Xenopus tropicalis: one gene and its partners. The protein of the gene in region 2 interacts with the protein of the main gene of each other region in a pairwise test. Links are inferred from orthologs where the notes say so. Each region holds a gene or a part of one and is shown on either strand. Other genes may lie near its edges.

The links.
Region 1: the proteins of wasl (region 2) and rnf8 interact in binary tests that used the Homo sapiens proteins (3 or more experiments, as listed by UniProt). The two-hybrid records come from large-scale screens. The link is inferred for Xenopus tropicalis from reciprocal best matches to the Homo sapiens genes WASL and RNF8.
Region 3: the proteins of wasl (region 2) and arpc3 interact in binary tests that used the Homo sapiens proteins (3 or more experiments, as listed by UniProt). The two-hybrid records come from large-scale screens. The link is inferred for Xenopus tropicalis from reciprocal best matches to the Homo sapiens genes WASL and ARPC3.

Annotation. Positions count from the first base shown.
Region 1 is NC_030681.2:2,801,102-2,805,366, reverse strand, and holds the start of rnf8 (E3 ubiquitin-protein ligase RNF8), read right to left. Parts: upstream 2,801-4,265; 5' UTR 2,723-2,800; coding exon 2,636-2,722; intron 1,428-2,635; coding exon 1,299-1,427; intron 442-1,298; coding exon 383-441; coding exon of another isoform or gene 1-382. UniProt on the Homo sapiens protein: E3 ubiquitin-protein ligase that plays a key role in DNA damage signaling via 2 distinct roles: by mediating the 'Lys-63'-linked ubiquitination of histones H2A and H2AX and promoting the recruitment of DNA repair proteins at double-strand breaks (DSBs) sites, and by catalyzing 'Lys-48'-linked ubiquitination to remove target proteins from DNA damage sites.
Region 2 is NC_030679.2:70,363,222-70,367,277, forward strand, and holds the start of wasl (neural Wiskott-Aldrich syndrome protein), read right to left. Parts: upstream 2,801-4,056; 5' UTR 2,692-2,800; coding exon 2,563-2,691; intron 1-2,562. UniProt on the Homo sapiens protein: Regulates actin polymerization by stimulating the actin-nucleating activity of the Arp2/3 complex. Involved in various processes, such as mitosis and cytokinesis, via its role in the regulation of actin polymerization.
Region 3 is NC_030677.2:162,793,703-162,797,799, forward strand, and holds the start of arpc3 (actin-related protein 2/3 complex subunit 3), read right to left. Parts: upstream 2,801-4,097; 5' UTR 2,594-2,800; coding exon 2,588-2,593; intron 1-2,587. Other genes in the region: gpn3 (GPN-loop GTPase 3), read left to right, coding at 2,927-2,974, 3,691-3,799, 4,077-4,097. UniProt on the Homo sapiens protein: Component of the Arp2/3 complex, a multiprotein complex that mediates actin polymerization upon stimulation by nucleation-promoting factor (NPF).

The DNA of each region.
Region 1 (4,265 bases), on a different chromosome or scaffold from region 2:
CAGGCTGCTGCGGCACTGGCGCTGGGTGGGGGCCACCGCATCGGCATCCAGAGAGTCATTGAGTTCAGGCTCCACCCCAGGGAGCGTGGGCCCCGCCCTGACCGTAGGCTGCGTGACCAGGGGAGGGGGGCGGGAGGATTTGGTCGAGGCCTCGCCCCCCCTGGAGACCCGGCACAACTTGGACGGACCCTCATTTCCCGAGGCGTCGGCCTCCTCCGCGGTGAATTTGCGCTTGGCCCTCGGGGCTTTGGCCTTGCCGGGCAGCGGCCGCATTACAGAGCCCGACACCTTGTCCAGATGCTCCCGGACCAACCTGTACTCAAACTCAGCACTTTCCGCGTTGGGTGGGGGCACCCCCAGTTGGATGAGGGCCCCCTCGCTCAGGGTGTAGGCCTTGTGGGGCTCCAGTCTCTCCTTGTTCCTCCAAACCCCATTCAGACTCTGGGAAGGGAGAGACATTGCAACAGTGCAGGAAATGAAAGCACCAGACTGGGCTGAATAGGAAAGCAAAGCCCCGCCCAGTCATACCCAGCCCCGCCCAGTCATACCCAGCCCCGCCCAGTCATACCCAGCCCCGCCCAACTGCAGAGCCTGCACCCCCCCAACCACAACCCTACAAATTATACAGAGTCCATTGATTGCTGCTTGGCCGCTATGGGTTACTACTCCTGGGCAATTCAGCAGGAACAGCCCCCTAAGTTTGCCCATAGCCTGTACAGAGAGATACCATAAAACTATGGCACATAGGGATTCCCCTGTACTAAGCACAATTCAGCAGGAACAGCCCCCTAAGTTTGCCCATAGCCTGTACAGAGAGATACCATAAAACTATGGCACATAGGTATTCCCCTGTACTAAGCACAATTCAGCAGGAACAGCCCCCTAAGTTTGCTCATAGCCTGTACAGAGAGATACCATAAAACTATGGCACATAGGGATTCCCCTGTACTAAGCACAATTCAGCAGGAACAGCCCCCTAAGTTTGCTCATAGCCTGTACAGAGAGATACCATAAAACTATGGCACATAGGGATTCCCCTGTACTAAGCACAATTCAGCAGGAACAGCCCCCTAAGTTTGCTCATAGCCTGTACAGAGAGATACCATAAAACTATGGCACATAGGGATTCCCCTGTACTAAGCACAATTCAGCAGGAACAGCCTCCTAAGTTTGCTCATAGCCTGTACAGAGAGATACCATAAAACTATGGCACATAGGGATTCCCCTGTACTAATTACAATTCAGCAGGAACAGCCCCTCACAGACACAGTAGGGGGTGTATCTGGGGGTGCAGGTACCTTGTTATCAGTCACAGTCCACTCGCCCCGGACGTTCTGCTTGAAGAGACAGTGGGTGCGGGAGATCATGAGGGGGCACAGGGTGGGTTTCAGTTGGTAGGTGACCCCCAGGCCTCGGCCCATAGTGACCTGAACACAAACAGAGAAATGAATGAGACGCACAGACCGATATAATCACTGGGGGGTCAATTCTCTGGGCTCCCCCACCCAAACTCATAATGCTCTCTGCACCCCAAGTTTCCCCCAACCAAGGGTCTCTCCCCCAAACCTTCCTCCCCCCCCCCCCACAGTGCCCCCAGGAAACTGCCCCCCCACAGTGCCCCCAGGGAACTGCCCCCCCCCAGTGCCCCCAGGGAACTGCCCCCCCACAGTGCCCCCAGGGAACTGCCCCCCCACAGTGCCCCCAGGGAACAGCCCCCCCCCACACAGTGCCCCCAGGGAACTGCCCCCCCACAGTGCCCCCAGGGAACTGCCCCCCCACAGTGCCCCCAGGGAACTGCCCCCCCACAGTGCCCCCAGGGAACTGCCCCCCCACAGTGCCCCCAGGGAACTGCCCCCCCACAGTGCCCCCAGGGAACTGCCCCCCCCACAGTGCCCCCAGGGAACTGCCCCCCCACAGTGCCCCCAGGGAACTGCCCCCCCCACAGTGCCCCCAGGGAACAGCCCCCCCCCACACAGTGCCCCCAGGGAACAGCCCCCCCCCACACAGTGCCCCCAGGGAACAGCCCCCCCCACACAGTGCCCCCAGGGAACTGCCCCCCCACAGTGCCCCCAGGGAACAGCCCCCCCCCCACACAGTGCCCCCAGGGAACAGCCCCCCCCCCACACAGTGCCCCCAGGGAACAGCCCCCCCCCCCACACAGTGCCCCCAGGGAACTGCCCCCCCACAGTGCCCCCAGGGAACAGCCCCCCCCCCACACAGTGCCCCCAGGGAACAGCCCCCCCCCCACACAGTGCCCCCAGGGAACAGCCCCCCCCCCCACACAGTGCCCCCAGGGAACAGCCCCCCCCCACACACAGTGCCCCCAGGGAACAGCCCCCCCCCACACAGTGCCCCCAGGGAACAGCCCCCCCCCCACACAGTGCCCCCAGGGAACAGCCCCCCCCCACACAGTGCCCCCAGGAAACTGCCCCCCCACAGTGCCCCCAGGGAACAGCCCCCCCCCCACGGAACAGCCCCCCCCACAGTGCCCCCCACGGAACAGCCCCCCCCACAGTGCCCCCCAGGGAACAGCCCCCCCCCCCCACAGCGCCCTCTCTGTTCCTCCAAGAGCCCTGCCCCCCCAAACTCCCCTAAGCCCCCCGGACTGTTTGGCTGCTACAGGCCCCGCCCTCACCTCCTCCCCGTCAGGCAATGGCAGCGACTCCTCGCTCCTCCCGCAGCGCCTCAGGTACCAACACATCCCGGGGCCTCCGTCCGCCATGTCAGGGGCCCGGCCCTTCGCCCCGGAGCAGCCAGATAAACCGAGATGTACAACGGCCGCCTATCCGCACAGCCCCGACCAACCGCAGCCCGAGTTATTCACCCGCCGCCCGCAGGCAGGAACAATCGAGCGCCATCTGTGTAAGGTCTGGGTACGGGTCGCTGTTGGGTCCAAGCGGCGCTTCGGCCTCCGGGGACGTCATGCACACGTGATGCGCCGCGTCCCTCACTCCGAGCGTCTATGAACCGTATAGAAACTGTATATAAACCGTATGTATGAGGTGCGGGAATCCCTCCCGTTACACCGCGCCGCCCGCTCTCACGGATTAGTGATGTTTAATACAATATTCTGCGTTTAAACCGTCCCTTTAGCTCTTGCGCTGACGCCGATCCTGATTGGCCGCTTTGGCGCGACGTCACTGTAATCTCGCGAGAATTCCGACATTTCCCGCCCCGTTATTGGGTTTGTTCAGCTTGGGGTGTTACGGAATAGTATATTCTTAGCAAATTTTCAATTGGTCTTCATTTTGTTTTTATTTTTGTCTACTTGTGTAATTATTTCCCTTCTTCTGACTCTTTGCAGCTTCCAAATGGGGGTCACTGACCCCGGCAGCCAAACCCTATTGCTCTGTGAGGCTCCAGTTTTATTGTTACTTTTCATTATTACATTTCTATTTAGGCCTCTGACCCTATTCATATTCCAGTCTCTCCTTCAAAGCACTGCCTGGTTGCTAAATTCAATTGGACCCTAACAACCAGATAGCTGCCTCTTCCAGCAGTATAAATCTCTCTGCAAGGGCTGATTTATTGAGAAATTCCACCAAAACCCCACTAGCCCCGCCCATCTGTGCCACTTCCTGCCGCCTCCTTTCCCAGGCTGTGCAGGGGGGCGGCGGCACTGTAGGATAGGAACCAATCAGCAGCTAGGCTGACCTGATAGGGAACTGAAGCCTGTCTGTGCTTGTGTGAGTGCAGGGCTGTGATTGGCTCTCCCCCTCCTACTGTGCTTCTGGCAGGGACCGTTAGGACACGCCCACCCCTCATGAAACGCAGACACCAGTGATGTTGCCTATAGCAACCAATCAGCAATTAGAATTTAATGGTCGCCTACAAAAGCAAAGATCTGATTGGTTGCTATGGGCAACGTTACCGATGATGTTGCCCTACACACTATAATAAATATGCCCCAGCTTGGGGTGATTGCGGCAGTTCCAGGTATTTATGTTACAGTCCTTTATTTCCATCCTCAGTGGGTGCGAGCATTGGATCAGTAGCCCCCGCGGGAGACCGTGGCACCATGTGACACTGTGGTCCAATGATAATGCCGCCCTGCCCACTCATCCCTCTTCTTTTATTGGCTCGTGGGCAAAACCTCTCTTTAGTGAGAATCCAAGGGCCACTTACCTGCCTGTAGAACCTTTACAGCTGCCCCCCCCCTCTGGTTTGGGTAAGACTATGGGTGCCCTGGTTCCTTCTCCCCATCTTCCCCCCCCCCCCGCGCCAACAAGCTGACCCTCAATGATTTGCCCCAGGAGGCTGGAGGC
Region 2 (4,056 bases):
TAAGGGGGAATGTGACCACTGCCTGAAATGAACCATATATAAATTTTGTGAAGAAGGAAAGACTGCAGAAGCCTTTACGGCAGGGATACCCTACCTTTTTTTACCCGTGAGCCACACTCAAATGTAAAAAGGGTTGAGGAGCAACACAAGCATTAAAAAATGTTCATGAGGGTGCCAAATAAGGGCTGTGAATAGCTGTTTGGTAGTCTTTATGTGGACTGGCAGCCTAAATGTGGCTCTGTACAACTGGTTTTTATGCAACCAGAGCTTGCATCCAAGCCAGAAATTCAAAAATAAGCACCTGCTTTGAGGCCACTGGGAGCAATATCCAAGGGCTTGGGGGTGCAACATGTTGCTCCTGAACCACTGGTTGGGGATCACTGCTTTACGGTAACTGTAAAACAATGCTAAAAAGAACAAAACAGACAGGTAACAATACCACCAATCAAAAGCATCCTTCTGAATTTCAGCTGCTTTGGACCTACAATATCCAGCATCCTTCTGAAAGCAAAGCCAACCTAGGAATACTGAGTGTATGAGTTCTTTAAAGGAGAACGAAAGGCAAAGTCACTTGGGGGTGCCAAAATGTTAGGCACTCCCAAGTGACTTAAATCGCCTACCTTGTACCCTGGGATGGTGCCCCTGTTCGGAGAGAACAGCACTAGCCTGGGGTAGCTGCAGCGCTTCCTCCTTGCTGCTTCGCGTGCGCAGTAGAGCGAAAAGCCGAACTTTAACAGAAAAGTCGGCTTTTCACTCTACTGCACATGGGCCGACCACTGGCATTTGCCGGAAAAGGAAGCAGGAAGCGCTTGCTACAGGTACCCCGGGCTGTTTTCTCCTAAAAGGGGCACCAGCCCAGGGTACAAGGTAGGTGATTAAAGTCACTTGGGGATGCCTAACATTTTAAGCAATGGAAAGCTAGCTTTCTGTTCCTACAGTAACAGCACTACAGCATCAGATACTGTCAAAGAAACTAGGAAGCAAATCTTTAAAAGATATAATAAAATATAAGTATAATGAAAAAAAAAGCTCCAAGGATTCATTTAATGTGCCATAACTTTTCACAACAACATTGCTGTAAAAATGTCCCAGCATTATCTTCTATCAGAGAAAATGGAATGAATAAATGTCGGTCAAGCTATCACTATTGTACAATGTGGGGGAGATTCACCAGTATAGTGTGCTTTCCAAAAAACTGAGATTCACTGTGATTATTCTGAGACAAATTTCCATGTAGTATTAACTTCCATACAGCTGCCAAGGCTAACACAACAAACACAAAGTTCTGATACAACTAAACAAACATTTATTCAGTGCTAGAACCTTTGTGGGCAACCTACAGTACCATATGAATGCATCCATATTTAGCAATCGGGCAAGACAAAGACAATAAAAGATGTATCATTACTATTTATTATTAACAAGCATCTATAAACAGCCATACATCAAACATACAAAATTTAGAAACAATTACTGAGTGATACAGGAGGTAAAGAGGGACCTGCTCAGTACAGCTACCGAACTGAACCGAAAAGGGGATATGAGATGCAAAGTGATATATACAGAAAATGCCATTAATTACTATATAAAAACTGAGTTTAATAGTACTTAGTACAGAGTTTTAAAAATTCTTAATAGAGTCTTAAATAAAAAAAAATTCTATACCATTCACATTATATTCACACACTAAAGTCAATTCAGTCAGTAGTCAATGAACCTGTATCTATATATTTGTTTATTTTTAAATGATTAAATGGGCACCACAAAAATATGCTACATACAAACAAGAAAAATATCAAAAGAGTAACAAACATTCATTGTCATTTACTGTAATTACCACACATCAATACTATAGCAGAATATCAAAAAACAGCAAATTCGCACTAATGTATCTTGTACAATACAGCACTTTTAACACATTTAGGAACTTTTGCTGTAGTTGTAGTTATAACTTCCTGTGTCTGGCTAGCTAAGAATGCTGGTTATAGCTGGTCAACAGCAGGGCAATTAGGTTATATGTATATCTGGCTACTGAGGAATTCAAACCAAACCATAATTGTGGTTATCAGTAACTCTAAGGTAATAGTTCAACAAGCAGGAAGGGCTTTAGCTAAAGAAAGGGCAATACCTTGGTTAGTAATGGCACCCCAAGCACTGTGTACAGCCAATGGAAATAGGGCAGAAATATATTAGCCGAGTTGCCCTATGCCTGGTATATACCAAACCAGCAAGCTGCCACTTTCAACCTGTTAAATAAAATGACCATCATTCGGCAGCCACTGACTGCTGGGGGGTAAAAGTAGCAGCTGGACAACCGGAGTACTACAGGTTAGAAAAATATCCTAGAATAAAAAGCAGCCCAGGAGGTTTAGACACGGAGGGCAGTAGCCACCCTTGCCCAGCATACAAGGAAACATAAAATAAGACTTGGCACCCTGCGGCCCTCCAGCTGCTAAACTACAATTCCCTGTACCAATCAGCCTACTAGGGGTGGGAGTTGTAGTCCTAAAACAACTGGCGAACTGCCCCCATTTGAATAAAAGACAACCGGGCCGCACTCACCACACACTTCTTGCCCAGGTAACTAAAGAGACTTTCATTTTCCTGCGCGGTGAGCAGTATGGAGCCGCTGTTTGTCACCCTTTTGGTCTGCCTGTTGTTGTTATTATTAGGGCCGATATTGTTACTCATGATTAGTGTTGGCAGGGAATCTCTCCCTTCGGTCCCTGCAGAGATTCTATAAGTCAGTATCGCCCCTCAGCGCAGGATCAGGGCCGCTTCATATCCCGGCCGCTTGTCGTCGTGTTGTGGGAGGATCCGGATGACCAGGCTGGCGCTGCTACTGCCTGTGCAGGAGGTGCTCGGCCCCGTAAAGCACTGCGCGCCCTTACAGTAAACTAGGAAGTGCTCGGCGCATGCGTGTGCGGAGGCCTTCGCAATTATCATTATTTAGCCCTTACAAAGCTTCCGCCAGGCTTCGGAGGCCGTGCGGAGCCGCAAGACATCATGGGAGAATGTTTACTCTGCAGTGTAGGCAATGCAGTTCTGTTCTGCTGTTCAGATGCGGAATAATGTGGAACAGGGCTGACTCTAGTTAACCAATAGTTTTACTCTTCTTACATTAATTGACTTGCATAATGTAACGTCTTACTGTCTAACTGCTTGTCTATAGGAACAAATATAGCAGCCAATTCGTATTTCCTCCATTCCCCTTGTCCATCTACCTAGTGTTCCTTCTTCCCCTGACAGATACATTTTATTAATAAAGTAGCTTCTATTTATTTTCCTTATATGTTTATATTTTTATCCCTTGGCACTCACATGCTCGCACCTGCGGAATTTTAGAGGGTGAAGACACACAGAGCTACTAGAAGCAGCTACTTGTCACTGCTACAAAACTAGACAGTGCTGACCATTACTGATAATTGTCTCTACTTGTGTTTTAGCAGAGGCAATTCTCTGTATTGTCTAAGGCGGGGTATTTTATGCCATTTAGTAGCCCTGACAAGTAGCTGCTACTAAGTAGCTCTGTGTGTCTGTGTAATTCACTTTAAAATTAACGTTTACCTTTACTCAGTGCTATTCTTAGACAATTTGCAATAAGTCTTAGTTTGTTTTTTGTTTTTTTTTTTTGCAGTTTTTGAATTATTTAGTTTTTTGTTGAGCAGCTCTCCAGTTTGGAATTTCAGAAGCTATCTGGTTTGTAGGGTTCAATTTACCCTAGCAAACAGGTAGTAGTTGCTGCAGGGGTATTGGTGCCATCTGTTCTGGAAAAAATGATAACCCTTCTCATGTATTTATCTTTCTTCCCTAATAATAACATGGGGATCAAGCATGATTTTTACCCCTTGGTGCTGCTTTTCAGAAAAAAATACACCACTTTAGGAAACTTTCTTAAGCAGTGCTGCTCCTCCATCTTACTCGATTTTCGAAAGTGTCCCTTCCATAGACTTGGCAGATTGGACTAAGTAATAGGAAGCAAACCAATGCTTAACCTGACCAAAAACAAAAGCTTTACATACATTAGAATTGTTAATGTCAATCAATGTGATATAT
Region 3 (4,097 bases), on a different chromosome or scaffold from region 2:
ACCTTTAAATGGTATCAGTACTGAGATTAACTGCCCCCTGCATTGCTCACACCTCAGATTCAGGCTGTAATCCCCCTGTATTGTTTAATCATGTAATCCCCTGTACTGTTCACACCTTTTAATGCCTTCATTGTTTTCCCCCTGCAGTGTTCACACCTCAGGCTCTGGCTGTAATCACCCACATTGTTCCCCTGTTCACACCTCAGACATTCCCTCTGACACATCCAGCATTGTGTCACTGTATGCTGCCTGTGTGTGCAATAGGGCAGGCATAGTATGGCACACATAGGCAGGGGTGGGAAGGAATAGTATGGCACACATAGGCAGGGGTGGACAGGAATAGTATGGCAGACATAGGCGGGGGGGCAGGCATAGTATGGCACATACAGGCAGGGGAGGGCAAACATAGTATGGCACACATAGGCAGGGGAGGGCAAGCATAGTATGGCACACATAGGCAGGGGAGGGCAGGAATAGTATGGCACACATAGGCAGGGGTGGGCAGGCATAGTATGGCACACATAGGCAGGGGGGGCAGGCATAGTATGGCACACATAGGCAGGGGAGGGCAGGAATAGTATGGCACACATAGGAAGGGGTGGGCAGGAATAGTATGGCACACATAGGCAGGGGGGGGCAGGCATAGTATGGCACACATAGGCAGGGGAGGGCAAGCATAGTATGGCACACATAGGAAGGGGAGGGCAAGCATAGTATGGCACACATAGGCAGGGGAGGGCAGGCATAGTATGGCACACATAGGCAGGGGAGGGCAAGCATAGTATGGCACACATAGGCAGGGGAGGGCAGGCAGAGTATGGCACACACAGGAGGGGTAGGGCAAGCAGTACTCTGCCTGCTCTATGCCTCCCCTATGCTGCCTGTGTGTGCCATACTCTGCCTTCCCTATGCTGCCAGTGCGTGCCATACTCTGCCTTTCCTATGCTGCCTGTGTGTGCCATACTCTCCCTGCCCTATGCTGCCTGTGGAAGGTGAACCTGGCAGGGGTTTGTTCCTGGAGTTTGGCATTTGGATATAGTCATTATATGGTCCCCAAGGGGTGTAATTATATGCTGGGGGGTTGCTGTGCTATCCACAGAAGAGGAGGAGGCATATCGATTTAAGTGTATAATACATAATATAATTCTTTCATATATAAATTAAGGGTGATATCCCTTCAGTGAGCACCAACCATTGGGTTTTTGCTGTGTTGCCACCATTAATGTGGGGATGGTCTTAAAAGCTCTTGTGATAGCATGGGTGTAGTTTGAAGTGGGTGTGGTTTAAAAAAGGGGAGTGGTCAAAAGTGTCTTCCATTATCGGCCCTCCACCATGTAGGCAAGAAAAATTCCGGCCCTCGGTACAACAGAAGTTGGACAGCACTGCCCTAGAATATGTTAGATGGTAATATTTACTTATAAGTAAGTAAATTATCTGTTTGTGAAGTATTTGTTCTGAAGGTATAGTTTTCCATTAAAGAAGTCTTAAAAACTCAATTGGGGAAGTGTATCATGTTTATTCCACAAGGGATGGCTTTTGGATCCTTTTAGCCCTTACTGGTTATTCTGAATACATCCCAAACTCTACAACAGAAGCCATGTTCCAAAAACTGACACCGATCTTGGCAGTAGCTTAGTAATTTGTCTGCAAGTTGGGTTATACAGATCTGAATTTTTAAAGAGTATTTAACATCAAACCAGGGGATTTGGATGCAATTAGGAGCTCATTTTCATGTATCTACACACAACTTTTAAGCAGTCATATAATATTTATGGAACAGTACATCATATACATATTTTCTAGAAGGCCTTGCTATATTTATGTCTGAGGATAAAAGAAAATGCATTTACCTAATTATAGAACGTTTCGCAATCTGAAAATGAAACACTGTGTATGGCTGCTAAAGTGTATGAGTTGGGTTGCAGCAATGTAGCTGACAGCTAAGCAAATGCCTCCCGTGTGTCGGCCCCAGCCACTTCCTGCATGACTAACACTCTTCCCCTTTTTGCACAATCTGCAGGGCAAGTAGTGGCCTGACTAGCTGTAGCCCACCCCTATCCCATCACAAATAAAATAATACCGTATGGCAGTTCTGTGACCGTGTTACATATGATAGGAGCGCTGGGGAAGCAATGAGAGATCCTTGCGCAAGATCACATGAAACAGGTAGAAAGAAAAAGCCCAGCGATCCACCCTCATTTCATCTCTAGGCAATTCCTTCAATATATATACGTGGGCACTGGCACTGGCACGGTAGTGGGGGCGTTCTGCCTTACCAGCGCCAGAGAGATCACATACAGTCAATCGCTGGTGTGTTCATAAGACTAAAAGGCAACATACAGAACATACAATGAGCCCTTAGCTGTAGGGATTCTGGGGGCCGCGGTGCAGCCGGCAATGCTAACGCGGAAGCGTACCTGCACTGGGCCCCAGACATTGGCAACACCGAATCTTATCATTATGGCCATTGGCTCTAAGTAATGCAGGTACCGGCGGGCAAGCCCTGCTCTACCCCAGTTCGCCTCCTGCCCCGAGATCCGGCTGCTCCAACGCAGCATAGAATACGCAGGAAAAAGAAAAAACTCACCGGCATCTTTAACACCCCTGAATATTTGAAAGGAATCCGGGAGACCAAACGTTGTAGTATCTGTACTTCCGCTGTCCCACCCAAGGCTTCGCAAGCAGGAAGTTATAACATTAGCACAGCTAGTGCGTCTCATGGCCGCTAGAGGGCGCCAGCTTAATCGCAGGGAAGGTGAGGCGTCCGTAGCAAAGCGTCCCGGAAGTACAGCAGCGCGACTACTAGGCAGCATTACAGGCAAGGAGGCGCTTCCGGCATGTCTTATTGCAAAGGGACTGTGGGGAACTAGGTGTTCTTGCTCCTTATTGGATCACCTGGGCAGTTTTCAAGTCTGATGCAAGGAGAATGCCGCGATATGCACAGCTCGTTATGGGGCCCGCCGGCAGCGGAAAGGTAATTTCTGGGTTTGGTCTCTCAAAATTGTGGATTTGTATCATACCTTTAATGGGTAACTATAGAGCAGTATTACAGTGTAAGATTTCTGCAGTTCGGGATCCCTTTTCCAGTTTTTCCTGGAGCCTGAAGAAGAGACCTCTCTTGTTTGCTATTAAAAGAAAGTAAAATAATAATTACAGTAGGATGCCTAGGCATGTGCGCAGTACTAACTATATACTGACTATATACTGACACCTACAATTAAACTGTTTTTAATAGCTTATAACATTGTCTTTGCATGAGCTGTATACTTTCTTTTTAAAATGCTTTTACGTTACCAGTACCTCTAGAAGGAGGCTGCCATATTTGTGCAGCAATAGTCTGTAACTGTAAATTCCAATAGGTTGAAAAGGGACAGTCAGGTTGGCAAAATAGTCAGGTTTAGGCCCTTAAAGTAGCAATTCCTTACAAAAGCAGCCTATCAGTAAAATATGACCAACATGACCTATAGGTAAGTTTTTATGTACATAAAAAATAGGTAAGGTTTTTTTTTTTGGTGTCAGTATCACATAAGGTTTTCTAATTTTATGTATTGCATATGAGCAAGTCTAGAATGCCACAAAGGAGCCTTGGCATATGTATAGACCTATGTGTGTCTAATATATTACAACAGTAGAATTTTTTTTTAATTACATCTTTTTGGCAGATGGTGATTATTAATCTTTGTATTTCAGAGCACTTATTGTTCCACCATGGTGCAGCACTGTGGGAGTTTGAACCGATCTGTCCAAGTGGTTAATCTGGATCCTGCAGCTGAGCATTTTGATTATCCTGTATTGGCTGGTAAACCACTCCCTTACATATGTCAGATTATCTTAGTGGAGAAATAACTATTAAATGCTGTTTGCTTAAATATTACAAATAGAATAATGTAACACAGGTGTGCCAATAAAAATGTTTCATAGTCCTGTTTGATAAAGTTATCTCTGCTTCACCAAGTAGAGCATTCTACAGTCTAACCAGTCCCCTGTGAAATAACTATTTGTATTGCTTCGGATGAAAGTGCATTTTCTCTAGTCTAACAGTGAAAATAATTATCTTTTGTTTTTGTTTTTTTAAGATATCCGGGAACTGATTGAAG